Linked DNA regions of Notamacropus eugenii. The protein of the gene in region 2 binds, or shares a complex with, the protein of the main gene of each other region. Links are inferred from orthologs where the notes say so. Each region holds a gene or a part of one and is shown on either strand. Other genes may lie near its edges.

What was found.
Region 1: PRKG1 (region 2) and CNN1 share a complex: the UniProt entries of both Homo sapiens proteins name them as parts of the cGMP kinase signaling complex. The link is inferred for Notamacropus eugenii from reciprocal best matches to the Homo sapiens genes PRKG1 and CNN1.

What each region holds. Positions count from the first base shown.
Region 1 is NC_092875.1:78,383,295-78,390,639, forward strand, and holds the start of CNN1 (calponin-1), read right to left. Parts: upstream 3,070-7,345; 5' UTR 2,956-3,069; coding exon 2,893-2,955; intron 812-2,892; exon of another isoform or gene 760-811; intron 1-759. UniProt on the Homo sapiens protein: Thin filament-associated protein that is implicated in the regulation and modulation of smooth muscle contraction. It is capable of binding to actin, calmodulin and tropomyosin. The interaction of calponin with actin inhibits the actomyosin Mg-ATPase activity.
Region 2 is NC_092872.1:278,293,475-278,301,360, reverse strand, and holds the start of PRKG1 (cGMP-dependent protein kinase 1), read left to right. Parts: upstream 1-4,625; 5' UTR 4,626-4,729; coding exon 4,730-5,073; intron 5,074-7,886. UniProt on the Homo sapiens protein: Serine/threonine protein kinase that acts as a key mediator of the nitric oxide (NO)/cGMP signaling pathway. GMP binding activates PRKG1, which phosphorylates serines and threonines on many cellular proteins.

The DNA.
Region 1 (7,345 bases), on a different chromosome or scaffold from region 2:
CCCTTCTTGAGCATGGGTCTTGACAGAGGACCTAATGCAGAAGGCCTGAGCACAGAAGCATCATTTGAGGTCATACCAACCACTGGGTTTCACTGTGCATGTCCTAATTCTGCAGCCTTCCCATTCCTCTTTCCCTGTCTCTCCCTAGGGTTCTCTCTGTGTGTGTGTGTGTTAGTATGCAAGGATAGCTATGTGTCTGGCCATCTTTCTGGGGCTTGTTTTTCTCTACCTTCTCCATCTCCAGTCCTCTGTAACTACATCTCCGGATCTCAGAGTTGAGAAGATCCTGAGAAGTCATTTCCAGTCTTTCAACCAGGAATTCCATAGATGGCTGATAGCTTCTAAGACAGGTGATCCTATGGCAATGCTGGGTTTTGAGGTGTGTTTGTGTGTGTGTGTGTGTGTGTTTGTGTGTGTGTGTGTGAGAGAGAGAGAGACTAACAGACAGAGTATGTAGACATGGTGCCATCATGATCTCACTAGGCTAAACAAGTCCTCTGGCTATCTCAACACCCACTTTGGCCACTAACCTCCCAGGTCCTCCCCCAAGGCTTCTGGACCTGGATAGAGGGAGTAAGAGGGTTGGAAGTAGAAAGCCTGCCCTGAGCACTGCCCCCTTAGTCTCCAACATGCCAGCAGGGGGTGCCCAGTGCCTGATCTGCCCCTGGCAGGGCAGTGGGGTAAGGAGGAGGGGGAGGAAGGATTGGGCCAGATTCCCACAAGAGGGGAGGGGCCTAGCTCTCCATTCTTCCTACTCACCTGGCCTGAGGAGCATCCGTTGCCAGCCTGTACAACGGCCCCTCCCTCTGGTCCCCCAGCCCCCACTTCTCCTCCAGCTCCGGTTTGCTTTATAAAGCAAACCAGCCCTTATATAGAGCTTGGGCCTCCCTGCCCAGCTTCCCCCAGAGCATCCTTATATGGAGAGGCTGCTCTGCCGGGTGCTCCAGGGAGAGAGGGGGTAGTCTGGAGCTGGGTCCCAGTGGGGGATGGGCAGTCCAAGTTCTCCCCCCTCCCCCTCTCTCCCAATTCTGTTATACAGGGAAGAGAGGGGGAGGGGGGAAGACCCCTTATTCCCTGGGGAATCTCCGTTTTCTTGTCTGAGAAGGGAGGAAGTTTAGACAAAATAATTTCTAAGATCCTTTCCTGCTGGTCTGGGATTTTAAAATTCTCCCACCCAGCTAAGACATCAGCCCCACCAGCCAAGATCAATCCTCCTCCCCCCATCCAAGTTTCTTTCTCCAAAGAACTGAGCTTTTCCATCAGAAAAGGAGACAGGGGCTATCAGGAAGAGTGCTGCTCTGTGAGGTTATTTGAGACCCAGGAAGAAAGGTTCCTGGGGGATTTGGAGGATAAACAGGAGTCTACAATGATTGGAAGTCAGTCTGAACTTCTTAAGCCTCCCATGTTCTCTTGTTGGGGGATGGGGTGGAGATGATTCCTGCTAGCCATCATTATCAACAGGTTGGCCTTTCTGGGTATTCCCAGCCACCTGTCATCAAAAACATAGCCAGTCTGTTCTCCTGGGAGTCCAGAACAGGAAAAGCTCAAGCAGGTGACAAGGTGATCTACCTCCTTGGGAGTTTTCTAACCCAGAGCTCTAGAAGAGTTCATGATAACAGTTCAGAACCAAGTATCCAAATAGTCCCAATGCCTCCTAATATCTTCTTGCCTTTTCATTGTCACTCAGAACCTCTGAGATTCAGCTTTGCTCCCCATGTTGGGGTTCGGGGGTCCAGGACTTAATATCTGTCTGATGAGGGATAGTGGAAGAGTTAAAATTTCTCAGTTACTGGTCAAGGCATCTCCCTGCAGGTGGCCCTGGAGCTGAGGGATGCCCTCAGCTGGGGCTGATGGGGGATGCTGAGGGAAAGGATCCTGCCTCTCCTGGACCATTAGTTGTTTGGTACCTCTCCTCCCATGGGGAATCTATCCCCTTCTTCCTTCTTTCACCCACCATACTCTTTAAGATTAACCTTATACAAGAGAATGGGTGTGAAAAGCTGAACTACAGGGTACAAAGTAGGGCACAAAATCCTGTCCTCAGGGGGTAAGGGCTTCTAGGGAGGAGATATTCCCAAGAGGAGTGTTATGAGATTGGTGTTTGAGCAAATCCGGACTCCCTCAAAAGGCCTACTCAGCTGAGGCCCTCTCTCCCTCAGGCACCAGGACCCACCCCACAACCTAGACCCCTCAGACATGTCTTGGACTTCCTGTTCCACTAACCTCTCTTCTCTATCCCCTCCTTCTTACTGCCCATCCAAACTTTCTTTCTCCAGACTCTGGCCCTCTCCCCTGCACCCTTTTCCTGCTCCAGTCCTTCGACGCCTAGGCCTTTGACCCTTCAATCTCTGTCTCCTGTTCCCCTCTGCCCATTCTGCCCTTTCTCCTTCCCCTCCAATCCTTCTCCCCTGACCCTTCCACCCCTCCATCTTCCATCTTGTCCCTTCCACCTTCCAAACCCTCTCCTTTCCTCTCCTCTTCGTCTCACTCAGATCTCATCACTGTTGGGGAGCCCCCATTACTCCTCACTGGCAGGTTTTGGACCAGAAACTTCAGAAGCTAGTGAATGGTGCGGGTAGTTCATTTGGGTGTGGGTAGAAAGATCCAGGGCTTGAGCTGGACAAGAATGACCCTCATTTGGTCTTCAGGACAGTGGCCCTCGTTCCCTGGTCTAGGCCTGGCTCCCTGGATTAGTCTCCTTATTATCCTTCCCTCCAGGTGCCTAGAACCAGAGCGAGTGATGGGGCTGGGGAGTACTGAAGGAGGAGGAAGAAACTCAGAGCCTGGAAGGCAGGAGGTGGGCCTGGGACATGACATTTCTCCCTTGGAGGCTAAGGACTAAGAATCCTACCCTGGGTAAACTGAGCGAGATGATAGAGTTAAGGTAATTACCTTGTTCTTGACCTCAGCCGACAGTCCATAAGCAGGGCCCCGGTTGAAGTGAGCAGTAGACATCCTGGTGGTGCTGCTGCCGGTGGAGGGGAGCCTGGCCTGGGTTTCTCCTGGTGCCTGTCTGCTGCTGCTGCTGCTGCTGCTGAAGTGGCCTCAAATTTTCCCTGCAACTTTTTGAAAGCTGGAACTCTGGGCTTCCCCATATGAGCCCTGGCTGGTTGTCTCATTGGGCCAGAGGACCCACCAATGGCTGAGAAGCAATCCCCCCCTCCCCTTCCCCCACGTCAGCCAGTCCCCCCTCCCCCACCCCACCCCCCTCCCCCAACCCCGTGATGTCAGGCCCCTGGTATTGGGAGCCGATGCAGTCATTGTTTCCACCTTGGTGGGGGGAGGGATGTTGGAGGGGAGGGGAGGCCCGGCTATAGTCATTCTTAGCCCAGAAAGGGGGGTGGGGGGAGTGTGGAAGAGTAACCAGCTGAGAATTCCTGGGGAGGACCTAGCCATTTGGAGACGGGAATAGGGCTGGGGACAGGGACAGTCTGAGACAACAGGCACCATCCCCCCCATAGGCTGGGTTAACCCTATGGATTGCCCATGTCTGGCACTCTGTACTGGGTTTCTGTGTCTATTTGTCTCTCTCTGTGACCGTTCCAGAGATGGAGGTCACTTTATAGTGAGAGACAGAGATGAACTCAGAGATAAACGCTGTCAAAGACTGTCTCTGGGGCAGTTAAGTCCCACCCGAATTTATTAAGCACCTATTCAACATCTTTCCTGCGTTCTAGAAGCTTTGTCTTAGTTGATGAGTTTATATCTCTCTCAATCCCTGTTTTCTCCTGATTCTCTTTCTGTCCCTTTCCTCCTTTTATTCATCCTCCACCCTTTGGGGTTCGAGGACTAAGACCTTCCCATCATTGCCTTCAATTCCTGGGCATCTGTGGATCAGCAGAAAGGGTAAGGGGGAGAATAGGGGAGTAATTGGCCCAAGTCAAGACCCAGGCTCTTTAGGGCCAATTTGGCTTCTGAGTCTTGGGTCCCCCTCAGGCTTCCTGGAAGCTTTCAGCACCCTGGGAGATGGGATGGGGAGGGGACTTTATGTGGTCCCCCCTCCACCTTATAAGGCTCTCCTTTTTCTGCAGAAACACTTGTGGTTTTTTTCCCCTTGGGCAGCTTTTCTCCCCTTCTGGGAATCCTGCCCTTGCATTGGAGAAGGGGGGATGGGAAGCCATGAGTGTTCAGAACAAGGAGAGGGAACTTTCCCTCCAAAGGGATCACCAAGGGAGAGTAGTGGGGTACAGTAGGAAGAACCCTGAATTTGGAGTTGGTCTCCATCCAAATCCCAGCTCTGGCACTGATTAAGCATGAGACTTGGGGCGTGTTACCTCCTTTAGCCTTAGTTTTTCCATCTGTAAATGAAATAGTTGGACTAAAATAGGGTTCTTAGCTTTTTTGTGAGTCATGGACCCCCTTGGCAGTCTGGTGAAGCCTGTGTGTGGACCTCTTCTAAAAATCCTGTTTTGAAATGCATAAAACAAGTACGTAGGGCTACAAAGCAAGCTAAATCCTATTGGAAAACATTTCTCAAAATATCTAAAAACAAGTCCAGGGAATCCTAGGTGAGGAATCCCTAGGTGAGGTCACTAAATTATCTCTAAGGCCACTCCCAACTCTTAGTACTGTGCAAAAGAATGAGAATGAGCCGAAGGAAGGAACTTGGATCGTGTACCAGGGTAAAAGGCTATTCAATCTAAATCCCTTGGACATGATGTCTGTGGGTGACTAACACAGCGTCAGCGTCAGGGCTGTGGGCCATCCTCTCCTCCCTCTCTTCTTTTTGTTGTATGCTTCACCATTTATAGAATGGACCTCTTCAGCTCTGAAGTCACCATCAGCCTGGCTTGGAGGATGTGATCCCTTGAGGCCCCTACTGCCACTACCCCTGGAAAGGCCCACTTTGAGGCCCTCCAGAGTGTCCACCCCCCCTCAGGGAAACCAAGGCCCCCAACCCCAGGACAAAATTGTCTCTTCTTCTACCATGATTGTGGATTCCCTTGCCTCCCAATCGGTCTTCATCTTTAATGAGGATTAGTGGAGGGGGGTTTAGGGATTTCAGCATAATCTGATAAAGCTCTATGAACACTGGGTATAGAGGCCATGTTAGAAAACCTGGAAGACAGCCCTAATTGGTGGGTAGGATGAGAGGTCTTTTGTAGATGTTCACAAGCCTCCCTCTCCACCTGTTTTCTTTTTGGTACAATGGGAAGATGACTGATAGGAAGGGAGAAGAGTGCTAAGTGCTTCCAGTTATGATAATGGGGAGTGGGATGCTGGGAAGGTTGGAGTGATTCACCATCAATGTACATTTAGAACATCTGAGTAATGACCCTCCTTCAGCAATAGGCATTGTCACTTCCATACCACCCCCACTAAGGAACAGGTGGTCACCCTGTCATGGAGTAAGAGGTTTTATCATCTCTTTATAAAGCGATGAATGGGCAAACACACACACACACACACATCCCTCTTGTCTTTGGTTCTAAAAGGGCTCATTACATTGTTCCCAGGCAAGGAGAAAGAAAGAGGTGACAAGCTGGGGTCACAGATCAGACCAGCTAGAAGGGCCCAGGCCTTGCCCCCAAGTCTAGAACTGTAAGCTACTTACTTCATTACCTTTATGGCTTGAGGATAGACGAGTCACCTAACCTCTCTCTGGGCCTCAGTTTCTCCACCTGCAAAATGATCCAACAAGCATTTATTTGTGAAGGGCACTATGGTAGGACCTGGGGACACCAATTCAAAATGGAAACAAGTTCCTGGCCTCAGAGAGCTTATATTCTAGTTGGGGAATGAGCTCTAATTTTTTTTCTATTTGAAATTTTATCTAACTTTAAATTCTTCTTCACCTCTCTCTGTTGACATGTGTGATATTTATGTTGTCCAACTCATAATTTTTAAAACTGCAAGGGACCTTAGCAATCACATAACATAGTCTGATCCCTTCAGTTTCATTTCTTTTTTTGGTTTGTTTATTTGTTTGTTTTAGTCTGGACCTGTGATTTCACTGTGATAGGAAACTGTCAGTATGGAAACTTCTCCCATTGATAGAGGTCTGCAATTCATCCCCTACTTACCGTCTAAGAGGGTCACCAAAAGGTTAACAGATTCACCTATGACCACACAGCTGGTCTAAGACTGGACTGGAATCCAGGTCTTTCCTGACTCTAAGACCCATTCTCTATCTCTTAAGAGTTTAGTTGTCTTGCAGCAAGATCACCTAGTTTGCAAGTAGCAATGTCACTATTTGAACCCAGAACCCGTGTAAGCTCCTCAAAAGCAGAGTCTAAGTAATATTTATAGTTGTGTCCCCTCCAGGACCCTTCCCCTACCCCCAATCTCTTTAAACAGACTTGGTCTGATCTTGGGGCCTGGCCCAAATATTCTCCTTTTCCCAGAGTTTACTCCAGGAAATCTCTGAATACCATTTAGGTCTACAAATGGTATATAAAAGGCTCCTCAGATCCCCTACAAGTATTAAAGGTGGCAAATGCATTTAACCAGTGTAGAGTAGTCTTTATTTTATCCCTCAATAAGACATGCAGAATGCAGAGAATACAAAGGACTCAGGAGCCCATAAACAAGTTCAGAACACACATTAAACCACTCATAATAGCTCATAAACTATCAAAAGAATTTTTTTCCACCAGGGTCCTAAATTCCTCCATACCAGAAGCTCCTGCCTGTGGTTTAGACTCCAAAGGAATATTTAGTTGAGGTCCCTGGTGGGGTTACCCTACAATATTCAGGTGTGTCCCTCTTCCCACAGGAGAGAATGTATTATCCTTCCCCTAGCTCCCCAGATTCATTGGACCATCTTTGCTTTCTGTGTAGATTTTTTTCTGGACCTAGTAGTCTTAGACTATTCCCCCTGGAAGGGAAATTTGGTGCTGTTGGATCACTTGACTTTCCAGATGACCTTCACTGTCTGCATAGCTACCTTTAATAGCAGAGTACAAATTCCAGGCCCTTTGGTCCTCTATATTGTGGCTTTTGGTCCCTTGCCACTGTTCTGCCCAGTACCAGTAGCCAGATTCATGATCCTCTTCTCTGTCTCTAAGGCTCTGTCTTAAGGCTAGATTCTAGGACTCTTCTTATGCTTGGGTTTGCTGCAAAGGTAACCTCTAATACTGGTATTGCCCAGGAAATCTCTCTTCTCTGGCTAGGACAGATTTCTGAATTATGCCTGTGAAATTCCCCTCCCCGCCCCCCCACCTTCTACAACTAAAGGCAAAGGTCCAGAAACAACTTGATCTGGGAACTTCCCTTTCAGGCTACTCAGGCAAGAATATGTCTGCCTTGCCATGTGCTTCTGCAAAGCTGCTCTTAGGTAGCAACTATTGTGCTTTCCAGAACGTCCCAGAAGAAAAGGGAAGGAAAAGAGGTGTGATGACTATCT
Region 2 (7,886 bases):
CAGTTCTTTATCCACTAAGCCACCTTGACACATAGTAGGTGCTTAATAAATACTTGTTGGTTGATGTGTGTCCTGATATAAATGTCAAACATTACCTCTGTGAATGGGGTAGTGAAAATTAATTAGATCCCAGCACAGAGTCCTTGAATTTGAGAGCTGACAGGGACTTTGAGTTCATGCAGTCCAATACCCCATTTTACAGATGGGGAAACTTTAATTTGGATGTTCAAAAATTTTTACCTCATGTAAAATGTAAAAAGAAAAGCAGTGGCAGTTGAGGTGTGAACTCTGCCATCTCTTTGCTCTGGAGAGGAGCATTTGAACATCAAAGGACCGTCCATTCTAGCTCTGTGATAACCGACCAATCAACTCTCATTTACATAGCAATTTCAAGTTTACAGAATGTTTTTGGTTAAACTCTTTTGAGATAGAATCCATCTGGAAGAGACTTGAGAGATCAAATAATACAACCTCATCAATTTACAAATGTGGAAACTGAGGCCTAAAGAGGGAGAAACAACTTGCAGGGTTTATTTCACTTTGTGTGTCTTCATATCCACAGCTACTCTCTTAGCACCTGGAATATGATCAGTACTTGATAAATGCTTGGTGATGATTGCTCAGGGTCATAGGTAGTCAGGGGACAAAGCTGGGATTTGTGGTTTTCTTCTCCCTTAAAACCTGTGTCCTTTCCTAAGCTTCATTTTCTCCATTTACTAGAGTAGGACACTGAAATTCAGGTGAAGTAATTCACTCAGGTTTACACAGCAAGTCAGAGTTGGGACTTGAACAGTGGTCTCCTTGGTGTCCCACTCTTTTAGCTATATTATACGCTTGCTCCAATAGGTATGCCTTTTGAATTACAAGTACCTGTACTGTTTTTTTTTTTGGTAGGTGTGTGGGGGGAGTGATTGGTTGTATGACTGTTAATCACATAGATTCCCTAGAAACTGCATAGGAAAACTGGAGTCACTACTGTGACCTATAGAAATGGTTTTCCAGAGAATATGCCTGTGTATAAAAATATTTGCTAGTCTTGGCAAAAACAGCAACAACAACAACATGGAAGCTCAAACTGGCATCTAATAATTTTTGTTAGCTGAGAATAGGCAGAGTAGTCTAATGGGTAGAGATGCAGTCATGGAATAAGGAATACTGGAAGACCTGTCTCTGACATATCCTAGATACCTGACTCTGGAAAAGTCACTGAACTGTTCAGTGTCCCCCCAAATGCTCTAAACTCTAACTTAACAGATCTGTCACGTTGCAGGGTGTTTTGATGTTAAAGTATGTGTGTGGGAAGAAGCAAATTATAGTTTGAGACCAAAAAAGACTTTCAGAGAGCTCATACTGTGACAGTCACACAAAATAAAAACAACTATTCACTTTAAAAGATTCCAAAGGAAACTGAGTCAAAACATACAATTCTGGATAGCAGAAGTGCATATAAAAGAATAGATAAAAACAATATAGTGTTTTAAGGAGCACATCCCTCACTCCTCCCACCCCAAGATAACAGATAGATCTCTATCCTTGGTACTCTTCTTAATGTGGTGAAGTGATAATGTCACATTTTCTTCTGGGATTTCTTCTTTAAATCAAAACTGGAGAAGTTAAACTTGTTCAACTTGTAAGCATCAGACAAACGCCACGCATGTTTCTAATGAGTCATAAATGGTTTGTAAGCAGCCTTGGTTGAGAAAGTTCCCACCTAGACATCCCTGCATGCATATACCATACAGTCTATTGTTATCCATTTGCTGAACAAACATTTACAAGGCACTGGCTTCCAGAAAGATCATTTCCAGGCTTGTAGCATTTTTCCTATGTTAAAATATGGTCCAAATGCACCCTGTGGTTGTAACTACACAAAGTGTTTGTGTTTGTGTGTGTGTGTGTGTGTGTGTGTGTGTGTAACTGAGGCAAATTGGATAATCCAAGAACAAAACTTATTTCTGACTGAATTTAAAGGGTGTGGGTTTGAATTCTGGCTCTGCCATTTACTGTAGGAGTTTGTGCAAGTCACTTCATCTCTCTTAGCCTCAGTTTGTTCCTCTGTAAAATGGGAGGTTGGAGTAGTGAACCTGTATTGTTCCTTTCAGCTCTAAAAGCAGTGACCCAAAAGTCTTAGTGCATTTTAGGGAGCTGTCCTCCCCCCAACCCCCCATATAATCCAAATAGTTGGTGAAAGGTCTTTGGGGAGGAAGATATCCTGAATTATTCCAAAAAGATGTTCACCCTCCTTGATTCTCCATGTGTAAGTAGCCTTTAGTCGAGCCTCCTCATTTTCTAGAGGAGAAAATGAATCGTAGAGAAGTGAGATCACACTGGCAGTGGCCAGAGCAGATTGGAATCCCATTCTTCAATGTAACTTGCAATCCAGCATTTCTCCTTGCAGCTGACCTGGGGGCCACATGCCTTGGACAGCCCCCATTTGGCAGCCAGTCTTCTGGAAAGAAAGCCCTGATTTAGTCAATTAGAAAAAAGCCAAACTGGAGAAGGCTGCCAGATAGGGTTTCAGATATATGGCATGATCTGCCATACCACGCACTAAAGGACACCAGATTTCCAGCCACCTTCAAAAGCTTTATGTTTGGGGAGGATTGTTTTGTTTTCAGAGTCTTACAGGAAAGGCTCAAGCAAGTGGCCAAATCCACTATTTATGGCTATAAAATTGGCTGTCCCATGAACTGTGGGGCGCAGGTCTGGTAAATATGCTCAGAACCTTTGTGAGTTGGGGAATATTGAGAGTTGTTTGGATACTGCCCATCGGTGGAGTCCTCTGTACACAAAGGACCATCCAGCAGACAGAGTGAGGGGTGAGGGGTGGGGCGGAGATCAAATGTTTGGCAGAAAAATCATGCTAAATACAGCATCTCCAAACAGAACCCCCAGGGAAAAAGCTAAAATGGGACTTTTTATTATTCTTCCAGAGCTGAAGTAGGGGCAGGGCGAAAGGTTGTGAAATTCATTTTACTGCAGGGTCTCCTCTCTTCTTTTAAGTCTCTGTCTTCAGTCTCTCGGTTTCTGTGTCTCCTCTTCCTCACCCGTCCCCCACTCCCTCCCTGTCCCTGTCTCTGGGCTCATTGCTGGGTCTCTTATGAAAGCAGATTTGTATCACGGTCCCGGAAACTTAGTTTTTTTCGGAGAGGGAGAGTGCGGGAGGAGATATGATGTTGGGAAGGGTAGGGCTTATTTTTAAAATACACTTTTTTTTGTACCTCAGCAGTGATCTCCCTCTACCCCATGACAATTGGAGGGAGTAAAAGGATCTTAAGAGACCCTCTGATGGGCAGGAAGGAGGGCCTTGAGTATGGCAGGAGTCAGAAGGGAGAAACAGCCGCTTCGCCAAGCGTCAAGCCCCAAATGTATTCCTCCTAGGCTGCCCGAGGCATCTCCATCTCTTTCTATTTCAGTTTGGAGGCGGCTCAAAGTAGGTAGCACGACAGGCAGGGAGTGAGTCGTAGACAGTTCTGGAAAGGGGATAAAACGGGGAGAGGGGGAGGAAGAGTACGGACGAAGGCTTTGCTCCATCCATCGGCATCTACTCTGCTTTTGCATCGCTCCCTCAATCTCTTGCAAGTTTTCTCTTTAGGTGTGATTCACCTGCAGATGGGAACATAGGGCTGGCAGGTGAGGTGTGTGTGTAAGTGTGCGCATGTGTGTGTGTGTGTGTGTGTGTGTGTGTGTGTGTGTGTGTGTGTGTGAAGGCGCACAGCCCTGGCACACTGGGCTGGATACCGGCGGGCAGGGAGCCGCTCTCCTTTGCGGATCCCAGCCTCGGCTAACATTCCTCAACATCTCCGGCGTCTCCAGCTTTGGAGCTGGACAAAGTCAACCGTGAACAGCAGGTTGTTCGCTCGCCTCATTTCATTTCCCCAGGACGGGCGCAACTCCTCCAGGGGCTCACTTCTCCCCGCCTGGAGTGTGCCACCCCACCCACGCCGCGTACCCCATAAATGCTGTCTGGCTAGCTCCGCCTAAAACTCCCTCCCCGGGGGCCAAGGAGGCACTTATCTGCTCTCCTCCTCCGCTGGCTGGAGCTCACTCTGTTTCCTCCCTCCCTGGCTCCCTCTCTGCCTGCCAGCCACAGGACCTCGACCAAGTCCAGTACCCTGCTTCCCTCCCTGTGCCCTCGCCCTCCCCTCATTTTCCCAGTCCTTTCCCACCTCTGGTGGGGCACAAGCTAGCGCTCAGCTCCGCCCCCCTCGCCAGGGCTCCAGGGCTCGTCTCCCCCGCCCCGAGAAGCGGAATCCGCACAGCGAAAGTCTCCAGGGCGCTGGGCGGCCGTCCGACTGGGCATGCTCCGTGGCCCCGCCGGGCTGAGCTCGGGAGTGGGGAGGCAGCAGCGGCGGCGGCGGGAGCGGGAGCGGGAGCGGCGGCGGGCGCGGGGGCCGGGGCCGGGGCTGGGGCCGGGGCAGCCGTAGAGGCAGCCGAAGGAGCAGCAGAGGCTCAGCGGCGGCCGCCGAGGGGGCAGCTCAGGCCGCCCGTCGGGAGTGAGCGGCTACTCGCCGCCCGCTGCCCGCCGCCGCCGCTGCTGCTGCCGCCTGTGCCCGTGCCACTGCCCGTGCCGCTGCCCGTGCCCGGGCTGGGGCCGGGGGCCGGGGGCACCGGGGGGAGCAGGAGCGCCCGCGGCAGCGGCGGCGGCGGGGACTTTGCCCAAAGTTGCGGGGGGCACCGCGCCGCCGAGCCAGCGGGGGCCCGGGGCCAGCCCCAAGGACCAGCAAGCATGGGCACGCTGCGCGACCTGCAGTACGCGCTCCAGGAGAAGATCGAGGAGCTAAGGCAGCGCGATGCGCTCATAGACGAGCTGGAGCTGGAGCTCGACCAGAAGGACGAGCTCATCCAGAAGCTGCAGAACGAGCTGGACAAGTACCGCTCGGTGATCCGGCCCGCCACGCAGCAGGCGCAGCAGGCGGCGCAGGCACAGCAGGCGGCGCAGCCCGGCGGCGGCGCGGGGAGCAGCGGAGGCGAGCCCCGCACCAAGCGCCAGGCTATTTCAGCCGAGCCCACTGCCTTCGACTTGCAGGACCTCAGCCACGTGACGCTGCCCTTCTACCCCAAGAGCCCCCAGTAAGCGGGCTGGGCCCGACCGGGGGAGTTGGGGGGGTGGGGGGAGGCTTGGGCGCTGTCCCCGGGGGGCTGGGAGGGAGGTCAGGCGTTCGCGGGGCTAAGCAGTGCGCTGCCCCGCAGGGAGCTGCCTGGCTGGACGCTCGGGGCTCGTCTGCCTTGCCTAGGGGCGAGCTGCCTGCACGCCTGGCCGCCTTCGCGATAGGGGTTCTCACGGCTGCTTCTCTCTCTCCTTCGCATCTCCCTAAAGAGGGACCCACCGACACTTCTGAATGTCTCAGTCTGTTGCACATCTCCAGTCCTTCCCTCCCTCCTTTCTTCCCTCCCTCACTCATCGGTTGCCTTCCTATCTGCCTCTGCCTTTATATCTGGCAATGACAGTGTCGAGAGGGAAAGAGAGAGGGAGAGAGTACTAGGGACCAACACATAGAGAGACAGAGAAACATAAGACAGAGTGAGGGTCAAAGTGGGCGAAATGGATAAGGAGACCGAAATAAGCGTAAGGAGAGGGACAGAGAGATCTCATTCGGAGAAAGCCGAGAGAAATCCCTTGGAATTGAGGTTTCAGAATGGACAGATGTGTGTATATGTGTGCGTATGTATGTCTGTGCAAAGAGGAAGAAAAGAGTGAACTTTCCTCCTCAGTTATCCAAGTCTCCAAGCAGCCAGAAGTGTCCAGCCGAAAAACCTGAAATGGCCAAGATGAACTAGACCCTCTCTGGTTCACTACGTGAGCCTCTGTACTTGTCTCGAATATCCCTCCATTGTTGACTGATTCATGCCGAAACTATCTGGATCCATGTTTTCTATCATAATTAAGGAATACATTTATCTACTAGGTAGTTCATATTTTTTAAAGGGTTCGATTTCCTGATATAATTTAACTTGCTTCAAGTAAGACAGAGGCAGGCTGCTAATTGTAATTGTTCCTTCTAAGGGAGAACTGTGCTTAGTTCCCGTGGCATAGTTGCTTTCCTACAACGATTGCATTACTTCCAGTGTGAAACGCACATTAGTGTGTCAGATCTGATCACAGTTGTAAATGGACTGGTTGTTGGTCTTCCTGTGACCGTTTTCACTACTTTGATCTGTCTTGTGCTGGCATGTTTTAGCCCTGGATGACTAGCCCTGATCTCAGTGGCATGAGGTAATGTGGAGGGAGGGAAAGAGAGAGAGGGAAAGAGAGAGAGAGAGAGAGAGAGAGAGAGAGAGAGAGAGAGAGAGAGAGAGAGAGAGAGAGAGAGAGAGAGAGAGAGAGAGACACAGAGACAGACAGACAGACAGAGACAGAGACAGAGAGACAGAGAGAGACAGACAGAGAGACAGACAAAGAGACAGAGAGAGATAGAGGAAGGGGAGGGAGAGGATCAGAGGGATAGATTCAGTTGAAATCAGGAAACCAAATCCCACAATTATATAGCATATATACAATAAGAAACAACTGGCCAAGGAAGGATACAGTACTTCAGTAAACATGTGACATGACTGGAGAAGGCAGGATATTGCCATGCTCTATTTTGGCTTTGTTTCTTTCATGTAAAGAATTCCCAGTGTGCCAACTCCTTCTACCAAAGAAGGTTTGCAATTCACCTGTAATTTAAAGAGATAGAGAGTTGAATTGCTGGAGGCAGAGAGATTAAGTGTCTTGCCTAGAGCCACCCAATTAAATGCGTTGGGCGAGGATGGTGTAGCTAAGTTTTTGTCCATTCTGACAGTTTGTTTGCCTGACAGCTCAGGCTTGGCAGTTGGGGGCACCTAAACCCTCTTTAGCATTCTTTGCTACTTTGATTCTCTGCCCTGACTTGCATGCCTGTTTCATGTAATGAGGCACAGAGTGGAACTCAGATCTAGGGCTTTGGTTTTCTAGCCACTACATGGTGCTGCCCTCATCCTATTCCTAGCCATGGAGTACTCGGTAGGTGATGTGTTACATAATACTCCGTATTCCTTTCATTACACATGATACAACAGGTTAATTTAAGGGGAAGGACTGGGTGTTTGCTTTTCCCAGCCTTTACTGATTTGGTAGCTTGGAATATCCTCCTTTATGTCCAATGCCACTGATGCCTTTGTTGCTCATGTAATTAAGGATTGCAATATTCGGTCCTCGACAGCCAACCTCAGTCTGCTCTTCTTGTCCCAGCTTAAGGAAAAACACACATCTGTGAGGGGGTGAGGAGAGTATGGCTAAGTTAAGTGTTTGTCCATGCTGACCTGATTGCTTGCCTGATGTCTCTGGCTTGGAGAGCAGAGTGACCTGCACCCTCTCTAACTTTGTCTGTTAAATTAATTCTCTGCTCTGACATGCATGCCTGTTTCATCTAATGATGTGCAGGGGCTATCTCCCTTCTGGTTCAAGTTTGCATAATGGAAAAGAAGTCCATGGGTATGATTTTCCTGAGCTGATTGTGGAGTGAGGGCAGCCTGAGGCCAGAGCTTCTGTAGGACTTGAGGCTGATGCAGAGGGAACTGTGATTTTGTATTAGGAAGGGGGAAATGGCAGTTGTTTTCAGAAGCCCAGTGATCAATTCAAATGATAAGTAGTGAAATAGTCGGTCAGGGAGTATCTTTGGGACTTTAGGAAGAGTATAATAGTGTGGCTAGCAATAAGAAATGGAAGAGTTTGCTAAGTCTGAGATGCTTCTTACTGTGGAGCTTTCGGGATGATTAGATTGGAAGCAAAAGATAGTTCAGCGTCATGAACATTTCGACTATGGATACAACATATTTCAGTTGTGGAATAAAGACTGCTTTATTCTTGCTGCTTCTCTGTAACCATTAGAGATTATTTTAGAGCAGTCAGTCATCAGAGTGAG